3 linked regions of the Oryzias latipes genome follow. The protein of the gene in region 3 purifies or fractionates together with the protein of the main gene of each other region. This does not show direct contact. Links are inferred from orthologs where the notes say so. Each region holds a gene or a part of one and is shown on either strand. Other genes may lie near its edges. The genes, in order: stxbp4, pdlim7 and ptpn14.

The links.
Region 1: the proteins of ptpn14 (region 3) and stxbp4 purify together in Homo sapiens (affinity purification with mass spectrometry; 3 studies listed by BioGRID and IntAct, counting the BioPlex papers as one, with this or other methods). This does not show direct contact. The link is inferred for Oryzias latipes from reciprocal best matches to the Homo sapiens genes PTPN14 and STXBP4.
Region 2: the proteins of ptpn14 (region 3) and pdlim7 purify together in Homo sapiens (affinity purification with mass spectrometry; 3 studies listed by BioGRID and IntAct, counting the BioPlex papers as one, with this or other methods). This does not show direct contact. The link is inferred for Oryzias latipes from reciprocal best matches to the Homo sapiens genes PTPN14 and PDLIM7.

The regions. Positions count from the first base shown.
Region 1 is NC_019877.2:24,516,315-24,519,965, reverse strand, and holds part of stxbp4 (syntaxin-binding protein 4), read right to left. Parts: intron 2,586-3,651; coding exon 2,520-2,585; intron 2,276-2,519; coding exon 2,075-2,275; intron 6-2,074; coding exon 1-5. UniProt on the Homo sapiens protein: Plays a role in the translocation of transport vesicles from the cytoplasm to the plasma membrane. Inhibits the translocation of SLC2A4 from intracellular vesicles to the plasma membrane by STX4A binding and preventing the interaction between STX4A and VAMP2.
Region 2 is NC_019868.2:19,535,279-19,538,929, reverse strand, and holds part of pdlim7 (PDZ and LIM domain protein 7), read left to right. Parts: intron 1-1,713; coding exon 1,714-1,865; intron 1,866-3,651. UniProt on the Homo sapiens protein: May function as a scaffold on which the coordinated assembly of proteins can occur. May play a role as an adapter that, via its PDZ domain, localizes LIM-binding proteins to actin filaments of both skeletal muscle and nonmuscle tissues.
Region 3 is NC_019882.2:9,205,475-9,209,828, reverse strand, and holds the end of ptpn14 (tyrosine-protein phosphatase non-receptor type 14), read right to left. Parts: intron 3,444-4,354; exon of another isoform or gene 3,090-3,443; coding exon 2,961-3,089; intron 2,505-2,960; coding exon 2,270-2,504; intron 2,194-2,269; coding exon 2,030-2,193; intron 1,954-2,029; coding exon 1,825-1,953; 3' UTR 634-1,824; downstream 1-633. Other genes in the region: N-lysine methyltransferase SMYD2, read left to right, coding at 145-253, 424-504. UniProt on the Homo sapiens protein: Protein tyrosine phosphatase which may play a role in the regulation of lymphangiogenesis, cell-cell adhesion, cell-matrix adhesion, cell migration, cell growth and also regulates TGF-beta gene expression, thereby modulating epithelial-mesenchymal transition.

The sequences.
Region 1 (3,651 bases), on a different chromosome or scaffold from region 3:
TGCTCCTGTGCCGGAAAGTTGAAGGGTGCAAAAACCAACACACCATGATGATAGTGATCATCCTGTCTGTCTATGTGGAGGAAAGAAATCGTCTTTCACTGACTCCAATCCCAGCTAGCAGTGAGGCAACAACCATCATCCGTTTTGACATCCTGACCCAGAAAACTTTGGCCAGTAATCTCACAGGAACCCTGCGGTCACGAGGGGCTCAGGGACTCACTTCTCTTGAACATCGGCTTTGATACCTTTCTGCTCATGAGCATCTCGTCTAAAAACCTTCTCCTCATGAAACGCTGTGATGGCAACACTCCGCTCAGAAGCCCTGAGCTCATGAATCTTCTGATTTTGAAAAATGTGCTCAAACCTTTCTTCTCTGAACTCTTCTTAGGAACCCATTTCTAAAGCCTTAGTCACGCCGCTCTGGGCCCAAAGAGAGGAGCAGCCAAATCTTAGGGGGGCCGCTGGTGTCTTGAGGCTTGTGTGGTGACCTCACAGGTCGTCATGAAAATGGAACGTACCATTGTCTTTTCTGAAATATTTATGAGGTTAATGTAAGTTGAACGCACTTATGAAGTCCAGCTGCTGCTTTCGTACGGTGTCCATGCACCACACTCTTGTCGTTAGGTGCAAGTACTGGTTCCTTACTGATGACGTGCAAATGCTGCGTGCACGGGGCGGGCACGTGATGAGCAAGCGCCCGTAGACTCCCTGAGGAATGACATCACAAACTTCTGTGTTTAATTTCCTCAATTCCAACAGTCAGCCTGCAAACAAAGATGCAGCAAAGGGGCGAACGCACCAACAGGTCCCTGTGCAGAACCTGGGGAGGGGGGCTGTAATCTGTATAACATGCCAGTGTCTCAGCTACTTCATCCTTACTTTCCCGTACGTGTTGTTTACGTGTTCACTCAAACCTGTCACCCGCTGCAAGCCTGTAGAAAAATGTTCAGGAACATCTTTGCTCTACGGCCTCACAGAGAGGTCTACAACCTTGATGTTTCGTGTGAACCACCTGTGTGTCCAGATAAGCCTATTTATTGCCCGCAGACAGCTGTTTCCACCCTTAAGGGCAGTTGTGGCCAAGCCTTATGATTATTCTGTTCAAAAACTCCTTAGAGGTGAATTCCTTTGGACAAATTGAGTGCAGACTGAGTGGTTTGGTTCATTTTCTTATTGCAATTTGGGTAGAACTATAGCACGTCCATAGAATCATTTGGGTGACAATTCCTGCTCCAACCGGCCAGAAATCACCAGGGTTTGGCAGCACAGCTGTGGAAAACCCATCACAGGGGTCCTGAGAGCCACAGCTGTTGTTGGGATACAGTTACACTTTTCTGAAAACCTTTTTGAATTTCCCCACCAGCTGTTTTGAAGTCTGTTTCACGTGTGCTGCTTGCTATTTTGCAGCTTAACACAGGAAACGTGTAGAGCTGATGACCAAACGTTTTCCAGCCGTGAAACCAGAAGTCCATTGAGACGACTAATACAGACGACTAATATAGTCGTCTCAATGGGCTTGGTACCGCTAATTGTAAAGTAAACATGAAATCATAAGGATCATGAAGTTCTGACTAACTAAACAGACTAAACTAAACTGGGCGTCCCTGCCTTAGACCCTCCTTCTCAGTAAAGTTTTTATGAGCTTTTTAACTTTGGGTTACTAACTTAGTGGTCAGAGAAGCTGTTTTAAGTCACATGACCCATCAAGACAGACTGATGTGGTGAACAGAATCTGGTCCAGATTCCAGCTGACTCGTCGGTGCTCCTACCCCTGGCTGTGGATCCGCTCATCTGCTGGACTATTTAAACACGTAGTTGTAGTGTTAGATAAGTTAATTCTCTCTATGAGTTCTGGTACATGGCCTGTCTGTCCTGGGGGAGGATCCCTCCTTCATGTGGACACCCCTGAGGTTTTTTCGTTTTTTCCCGTTTTCTTTAGGAGTTTTTCCTTACCGTGAAGGGGGGTCTAAGGGCAGTTAGTTCTGTTTAGCCATTACCTATTGAACTGTATGACCTAATTACTCCTGGACATCTTTCTTTTTAATCAAACCAAACAAAACAAGTGAAAATGCACCTTAGAAGTCCCACATTCCTCCTTTTTGGTTGATGCTGGGTGTTCCATCCTCTGGGTCTTTAGTTCTGCAATCTCAGCTTCCAGGAGGTGGATCACCTCTTCATAGTCCATCTCCATCCCCCTTGCCTGCTTCTGGGCTTCCTCGGCTTGCTGGATGCGAGTCCTGAGAGCTCTACTCTCCTCTGCTCCCACTTTAACATCCTGCAGAAAAGACAGAAGCACACAATCCTCACTGACAGTCATGGACACAACAAATACCAGCGTCACAATTTATTTAAAGAGAAATCTAAAAAGCAAAAAGAGAAAACAGAAACTGATTATCAACCTATCTGTAAATTTAACCTTTAACATTTATGCGGAGCTGCATCTTTGTTCTAAAACTATGCTGGAACTGATGAAAAGAGACAACTAGAGCTTTCACCAAAGACCTGCAGACGAGACTCACCTGCTTAGCTTTCTTGAGATCCTCCTCCAGGTCCTCCTGCGTTCTCTGGGACTGCAGGAGCTGTTCCTGTGAAGAAACACACCGATGAGCAGCTGAACCCTGACCTGAACGCCACATCTACTCCAGACCTGTAGCTTTGAAACAATAACAACTATTTGGTTGTTTTTTTATCTAAGCTACAGTTTTAAATGTTGAAATGAAATTTTAAACAACACACTAACTGTTGCCAGTAAAAGGGGGCGACTTGCTGCTCTGTAGGGTTCATATGTTTGTGAATCTGACTGATGACGTCAGTGCCTCACCAGCTGTGAACCTAACCACACGTCACTGTTGTTAATTTATTGCTGCAGTTGCAAAACCTCCATTTTGTGTTTTCCTTAGTAACTTTTGTCCAACAATTGCCGCAATCACTACACACATGTTCCGAATTTCCATCCATTTGCAAAAAGTGCAATGAGAATCTGAACCAAATAAAGGAAACCGTGCAGCCGTTTGAGTGCAGGGTAAAGTTTCAGGCTCTGTTGGGTTTACTCTCCTGCCATATTAAAGATGTGCTGCGCCTCAAGGCGTAAATGGCAGTAAGAAGTAAGAGGAATATAAAAAAATGTCCTTTGTTCCAGTTTGAGCTCTGATAAAATTCAAATCAAACAAATCAATCCCCTGAGATTGTTACGAACAATAAACGAAGCAACAAACACTCAAAAATGAGAATTCTTTTAGGTATATTTAGGTTGTGGGAAAAGTGACCAGCGAACTGCTGTGAAATCTCCCTCTAGTGCTCTTTTGAGAAACTAACATTTGGTCATTTTGACCAATTTGGGAAAGGAAGGTAGTGTTTGATTTTTAAAACAGCAATCAATGGATTTTAAAAGGAAACAAATCGGGGTGAAGAGAAGACCTTGTTTCCTTGGCATCAGCAGAGATACAGGAGAAGTGAGACAGTTAAAACAAAACTCATGTTTGAATCCTCCCTCAGGCGTGTTTGGCTGCTTTAAAAAAAGCACTTCTTTAGAAAAGCCTCTCAGCATTGATTTGACTCTGGGTCTGTGAGAAACAAATGGGAAGCCGTGCAAGAAGAAGACATAGCAACTGAAAAAAAGAATGGATCCGCAGAATGAGACACAGATGAACC
Region 2 (3,651 bases), on a different chromosome or scaffold from region 3:
TGTTGGGTTGAAGTGATGTCAGGCCCTCCTGTCGCGACAGGACTCCAGCTCTGACTCGCACGCCTGCAAGCCTCCCTGTCGGCGTGAGGGGATGATGTCATCCTTTTGTCAGCCTGTCATGAGTGAGAATGCATTTGATTCCAGTAAAGCCTCTGACTAACGATAACATGTGGACCTTTTCTTCAGCTATCAAGCGCGTCTTTCATAGTCTTAAGTCACATCTGGTCTCGATCGTTTGCCGTTGATGGATGACATCAGGATGACCTTATAATGTCTGTTTTGCGGAAAGGCTGAGTGAAACAGACGGGTACGCTCCTCCTGTTAATTATTGGGTGCTAACAGATGTTACAGACAGCCAGCTGAACATGACTTAGTGTGTTTCTGTATATGTGAGGTACTGTGAGGTAACGTTGTAAAAACAGGAGACTTATTACTACACTCTGTAGGAATCTCTGTCGATAAGATAAGCAAACAAAATAAATCAAATAAAAAAGAAAAACACATTTCTTTTGACACTTTCTAAAATCAAATTGCACCTAAAAAGGATTGGGAAAATAAAGCTTTTACAATTTATTACAGATCAATTGAAACCCTTAAAACTCAGTTTCACTTAAGTTAAGTTAAAAATAAACAGAAATATACCCAAAAATGACTCCTTACGAGGCCTGCACAATAAATCGCATCATGAGTTCAGCCTTTGTGATAAATGGTTACCTCAAATTATAACATACATGCTAAATTGATCTCATGGGATCTTAAAGTATTTAACAAATCAAATAAAAACCCTTTCTTGATTTGACCATTCGGACTGACCCGTTCACGTCGCTGACCAATCAGATGTTATGTGGGTCATTTGGAGTATAATTTAAGTTAAGTTGACTTCTATTTAAATAAAACAGTTGAAAGGAAACGGAAATTATGTAATAATATTGACTACTAAGATCACACATTGCAAGTTTTTCTGCTATCCTGCAGCCCTAGTCCTAGTCCTCCTTTTTTCTTTTTAGAAAGATGTTTTAATTCTGTAAAACACATTGCATTACTCTATAACATAAAATGCTTTATAAATAAAGATTGATTTGATGTATGACTTTTATTAAAACATGGATTTTTCACATGGATGCATTACCTTTAAAAAACATGCAAAGATGCACAATTAGTTTTTTTTTACTTGATTTTTTTTTCTTTAACTTGTTTTGTCCAACAGCTGAGCAAACAGATTAGAGCTGAAGGCTTTTTGTGTTGGACAGGTTTTACTATCACAAAAAGAGGTTATATAGCTTCGAGAAACCAGGGTGTAGATTTGTATAAACCCCTTTTTGTTGTATTATTTTTTATTTATTTGTTAAATTCAGTGTGTGTGGGGAGGGAGAGGGGAAGAATGTGAGGGGGGGGGGGGGGGGGGGAGAGTAAAAGGAAGAGAGGTGAGAAAGTGGGGGATACAAGTACTGATTTGAATAAGTTATTATTTTAAGCTGTAACAATCACACCAGATCTGCTGGAAAGACAAAGTTTTTTTTACTTGGTAATAAATAGATTTTATCTACGTGTTTTAAAAAAATGTATTCTTGTTTATTCATTTTTTGCGTTATCGGCTACCTATATGTTTTTTCTGACCTGCTGAAGTTGCTTCTCCGTCATATGGGTTTCATTTCATAACTCTGTTAATAATCTTCTCCCACTAAATCACTTCTGCATCTTTGTCCTCCACAGCTGACTCCAGGTGGAAAGGCGGCTCAGGCTGGAGTCGGGGTGGGAGACTGGGTGGTTTCGATCTGTGATGCCAATGCTGAAGACATGACTCATGTGGAGGCACAGAACAAGATTAGAGCAGCAACAGACTCCCTCACCCTCACCCTCAGCAGGTAAGCCGGAACAGGATTTCTCATTCCTCCCATGGACTCACAACAATCTAAATATTCAAAAAACACTCACTGGCACTTTTTATGAGACTGAGGGAACTTTCAAGTTTGCTTTACGTTGACAGATTATTGCAAAAATTAGGGCTGCACGATATGAAGAAAACTCGCAATATGCGATATTGGTGATCAATACTGCAGAGACGATATAACTTGCGTTTAACGAACAAATGGCAAAAACAACAAAAACATTTCCATTTCACTGCAAAAGTTTAATTTAAATAGGAGTCAAAATACCTTAGATTATTCTCCAAATGACCTTTGTTTAATTAGCAGGGGAAAATCTAACATAAAAGCTCCACCTGATTGGTCAACAACGTGAAGGGCTCCATCTGATTGGTTAAATGCATACAGGGATTTATTATATTCATTGAAGAGTTCAAGTTGCCATAAGATTGTTTTAGCACATTTAAGGTTTACCATTTATCGTGATTTTTGCTGACTTTTGCCATATGGATATTGCACAGCCTGAAATCGCGATAATGATAAATTTGTGAATAATTGTACAAGCCTAGCAAAAATACAAAAAAAATATTATTTTAACCTTTTTTTTCTTCTTTCAAACGGGCACAGCATTTGTTTTCATAAGTGCTGATTTGTTTAAGATTGCCTTCTGTTTTATTTTGTATTATTTTAGTGATTTAATTTTTGTTTAATTTGATTATTTCCCTCTGTTGATTCTAAAGGTGCAGGAACATTTACATTAGCAGGTTAAGCTTACACTTTAGTCATCTTTAATATATTTTTTATGGCAAATGTAAAACAAACTTGCATCCAATTAAATCAGCTTTGAAATGGCTGGTTTTCATTTTAAATATGAAAAATTATTTGAGGTGTTAAGGACTAAAAGATGGTTTGAATTATAGCATTTGACCTTTGCAGGTTTATAAAAAAAAACCTACATTTTACCAGAGGAACAAACTCTGACAACTCATCACTCTGGTTTAATATGCAACAAAAAGTTCAAATATAGCTGGAATCTGTGTTTAAAACACAGTTTAATAATTGTCTGAGGTGTAAGTCAAGCACAACTAGTGATTTATTAAAAGCTATTAACTGAGGCATGCACACAATTTCATCTCTACATCCAGCTCTAGTATTTGTCTTCTTTTCCACAGCAGCTCCTGGTGGCTCTGTGTGCTGACCTTCTGTTCTTTTAATCTAAACTATTCCAAAAGAAAACCTCACATCCTGAAAAAGCACCAGAAACACACAAAAAGGACACGCAATTTCTCATAAAAGCACTTTTTTTTAAATTCAGTAAGAAAATAATTTGCAGCAGACTGCATGCCCGTCGGCAGAATTTGCACACATTAGTCTGCAAATACTTTTTATAAAGTCTCTCTGAAGACTAGAGGAAATGTTTCATCTGCAGTGTGGACATAAAAAAAGATTTTAGGCCCAAAGAGAGATAAAAATGTAATCATTCAAGGGCCTAAAACCTTCAGAAAATGAGAAGGTATCGACTTGTTAGAGCAATAAAGATGAGCTTGCTGCTTTTATGGGACTCATTTTGATTTTTTTGATCCTCGTAAGTAATAAGAGAAAAGCTGTGTTATCTTGTTCACCTTACTACTGCCTGCCAAGAGTCTCTTCTTTTACATTTCAACACCTTTTCTTTTTTGAACTTATTTTGAGAGAACGACCGCAGGTTTTTCAAGTTTTGTTTTTTATTTTTTTTATAGTTGCTGTGCCATCACTTTTGTCAGTTTTTTAAGATGTTGAGTTTTGT
Region 3 (4,354 bases):
AAATTTAATAAAAGGAGGATAAAAACTTTTTTAGCAGTTAATTTGTTGATAATACTATTTTTTCTTCTAATTGCGGACTCCTTTTGACAGTTTTGATATTTTTTTTAAGTGAAATATTTAAAACTCTGTCTCATTTCAACACAGCAAACGTTACCATCCATACTCCTTAAATGTGTCGTCCCTTTACCTGAAGCTGGGCAGGATCTACATGGCACTGGGGAGGCACTCGGCAGGAATCAACGCTCTCACAAAGGTAACAAACTGATCAAAGAAATGTATATAATATAAATGTGTTCCTTTTGTTGTTTTGTATTAAACAAAATAATGCACAGTAGCTTTAATCTTTACAAAAATGCAGGTTAAAATATTTATGCTTAAAACAATAAAAGGCAATAAAATATTTATATTTTCTTGTGTGTGCAGGCAATGGCTATAATGGAAGTGGCTCATGGGAAGGATCACCAGTATCTTAAAGACATACGCAAAGAATTATCACAAAAATGAGGAGGATTTGATTGGAGAGTTGAAAATTTGTGAAACGGTCAACACGGGTAAGCTTTTTATCATCAGTGGGGGTTTTTTTGTTTTGTTATTTAAGCACAAAGGGAATAAATGGCAATGAGGCCACAGATCTAAAGAAAATAAGGCTTTTACTGCATGATAAGCAGGTATAACAGCTTCATACATGTCTGGGGGGGGGGGGGGGGGGGGGGGTCTGAATGCACTGGAAATGCATATACAAAACATATGTACAGAATCTGTGAAATGTGTTTAGGAGTTTGGCCAGAAACAAAGAAAAACTGAAGAGCTAAATAAATATAAAAAAAGCAAGAGGAATGCCTTGTGAGGAAAATACTGTCAAACAGAGAAGTGCAACAAAACACTTGTATGTCCAAAAAAAGCACAGTCTAAGTATCAGCAAACATACTGAAATATATACATGGGAATATTTAAAAATAAAAAAAGCATGCATAGTTTAACATTTTGCGGTAGTTAAAGAGTACCAAGTCAAGAAAAGACATATATAAAACAGTGTCACATGCCATTATGTACAGATTATTCTTAAAGATGTAGAAAAAATACATTTAAAGTCATAAAAGTCATTTTTAGAGTGGTATTTTACATAAAGGATAAAGGAAAGTGGAGTTAGCTTCTGGATTTGATCACTTTTTATATTCTTTTCAGTGTCTAATCTTTAATTTTTATGCTTTAAAATTATTAATTTGTCTGTAAAATCTTAATTTAGACATTAAAGGGAAACGGGGTTTCTTCTATAATATTTTAGTGAGGCACCATTAGAACGAAGGCAGTTTTCTATGTATCGCTTTTATAACTTATTTTTAGTATTTAAAAAAAAAACAGCAATTCTTTTTCAAACGAATAGAAAATACATTTTGTAAATTTTGGGTGCGTTTCTTTAAGGAAAATATCAAATATACGAAAAGGTTTAGGCATGTTTAAGAAGGACAAAAGAGAATAAATCAGTTCAGTCTTTTTAAAAACAAAACTTTTAACACAGTGTGTCTGTAGTAAATATTTTGTTTAAAATATGAAAATCTGTCTGAGCAATAACAACACTTGTCTGTGTAAATTGCAACACTGCTGCCCCCTGCTGTTCATGCCGTATAACACCATTTGATAAATGTTCAACTGAAACTGTGATTTCTTTTTATGCTTCTTAAGTAACAAGCATCTGTTTACTCACCTGGATGTTATGAGAATAAAAATAACACAGCTGGAGAAGCATTTTACATGAGTTAAAGAGTCTATCAGTAATACTTTTGAGTGTCGTCTTGATGATTTGAAGTACCACATCCTGTGATGTCAAATGAGGCGGGAGTTCTTGAGGAACTGAATGAGAACCTGGTAGACAAACTTGTACTGGGAGATGGTCTGAACCATCAGCATCCTCTGCTGCCTAAGCTCCGATAGCATGGTTGGAACTTCCACCGGCTGCAGGGGAAATGGGAATTTATTTCCTATTTCAATACAATTTAAAGAGAAACTTTGGGGTTTCTGTATCTCACACCTCGTTGTGTTCCAGACAGCTGATCATGAGCTCAGTCAGGATGACCACTCCGGTGCGGCCCACCCCAGCACTGCAGTGCACCACCACCGGGGGGTTCAGGCTCTTTGAGGTGTCCAACATAGAATTAGTGTGCCTCCTAACAGATTGGATTTCCTCTAAATAAGCTTCAGAGAAAAAAAGAGAGACTTGACTTAGATGTATGTGATGGTCACAAACAAACGCAGCAGGATGGATACTCACAGAGAAATCCAGTGACATACTCAGGACACCCCTGCTCGGGCCAGTCGGTGTACTGCAGGTGCCACACCGTCCTCTCCTGACCAGAGAGGAGGTGTTTGACCTTTAACCCTGTGGTGGCGTAGCATCCCGAGTCCGTGCGGAATTTGGTGGTCACCTTGTATTTTCCGTGAGTGGCTGAATTGTGTTTGGAGCCCAGTTTGGGCCAATAACGATGACTCTTAGATCTTCCACCCTCCTTGATGGGGAAATAAAGAAGGCTGTATGTTTAAGATTCATAAACTCTGCACTCTTTAAACAAACTCTGCAAAAAACATATATATATATATTATTAAAAAAAGAATTTTTCTTGAGCATAGAGATTTCCCTTATTGAAAGTTTTTTCCACACACTTTCCATCGCTTATTTTTTCCTTCATTTTCCAAGTTTTAATTGTGTTAAAGTTTGTTATAGACCTAAAGCTCTCACTGAAACTTGAGCCTTTCTGGTTTTAAGATCTAAATGGGTGCAAGTGACTAGAATGTTTTCCAAGTAAAAAAAAAAGTAATCAGGATGGTACAATTTTTTTTGCTAAATTAAAGAGATTTGTACAGTTTTTTTTTTTTTTTTTAACAGGTTGACCTTTTTATGTGTAATCCTAATTTTGAGAATTAACCAGATCCATGCTAAAAGTGATTGAAATCTGTGTGGGTACCTCTTCTGCAGTAACCATGGCGATGACACTGACCCCCTGCTCCCACACCATCTGCCAGAAGTCTCCACAAGTGTTGGCTAGAGGGCCTTGGGTTGCTATGTAGTGCCACTCCTCACCCCTGATCATGACCTAGGAAAAAAAAAGTGTTCAGACATCTGTAAATAGGTCAGTCAATCAATAACTACATTTATATTTAAAAACAACAACATTTACATTTTGAGGTAAACTTAAAGACTGACCAATGACTGATTCTTCATGAAACCACTAGAGGGCAGTGTAACAGGCACAGATTTTGACCTACAATATTTCCCTTTTACCATTCTTTTATTTTATGCATTTGTGTGTGGTTTTTTTCTAATAAAATTTGAACAGTCCAGACCTCAAATGTTTTTTTTTGTTTGTTTTTCTTTTGTCTTGTGATCGAAACCTTTTGGCAGAATAAGAACACATTGAGATAGAAAGTCTTTTGTCTTGGTCCAAAAATTAGAAAAAGGAACATTAGAGTTACAAAAATGAAAGCAACCACTTTATCATAGTCTAACATTCATGCATAACTTTATTACAGCCTTTATAGGGACTAATAGCTCACACACACACACACACATAAGCAGTTCACACACCATTTTCAGCACGGCACACACAGAACTTGAGGAACTGGGGTTGCTTAGGAGGCTTGGAGTTTGGACAAAATTATTCGGGAATTCCAGGAGCTCTAAGAGCTTAAAGCACAAACAGACTTCAATAGCTGCCTTTCATCTGCTCCTCCGAGCTATTCCCATCTTGGAAACAACCACAATACAGACTGGAAGAAGGCTGAACACTTTAGACCTAACTTGATTATGTTCTAGTAATTTTATTTTAATGCCACTGACAATAAAAAAATAACAATTTAGCCACAGGACAAACTTAGATTTGGGGATTTTGCATAATTGCAGCCTGGTCAAGTGAAATTCCAGAGCGGATCAAGTTGACTCCTTAAAAAATAAGTCAAAAACATATTTGGTACTTTTCAGTGATGATCCAAACTTAAACCTTCATTAAAAGTTTGTAAACCTGTAGAATTAGTAATTTGGGACTATTTTTTTTAAATCCCTTTAGCTCGTCTTTTTCCGCAGAAACCGAGAACTTCTTGCATGAGCCCAATTTTATTGTTCCAACAGGGTTACAGGAGGATATTTTAGATAAGATTAGATGGGATTGTTTTGCAAAGTCCTTTAAATTTCTGGACCAGATGAAAGAGAGGAAAGTAAATGGGATTTTTGGGGAGGATGCTTAAAAAGACAAAGAAAGGAATCGTGGGAATTGAAGGATAAGAAGAAAAAAAGGCACGGTAAGGTTTATCATTAGATTCTAAAGGCTTATTTTTGTTCCCAAGCACACATCCACACACTCAA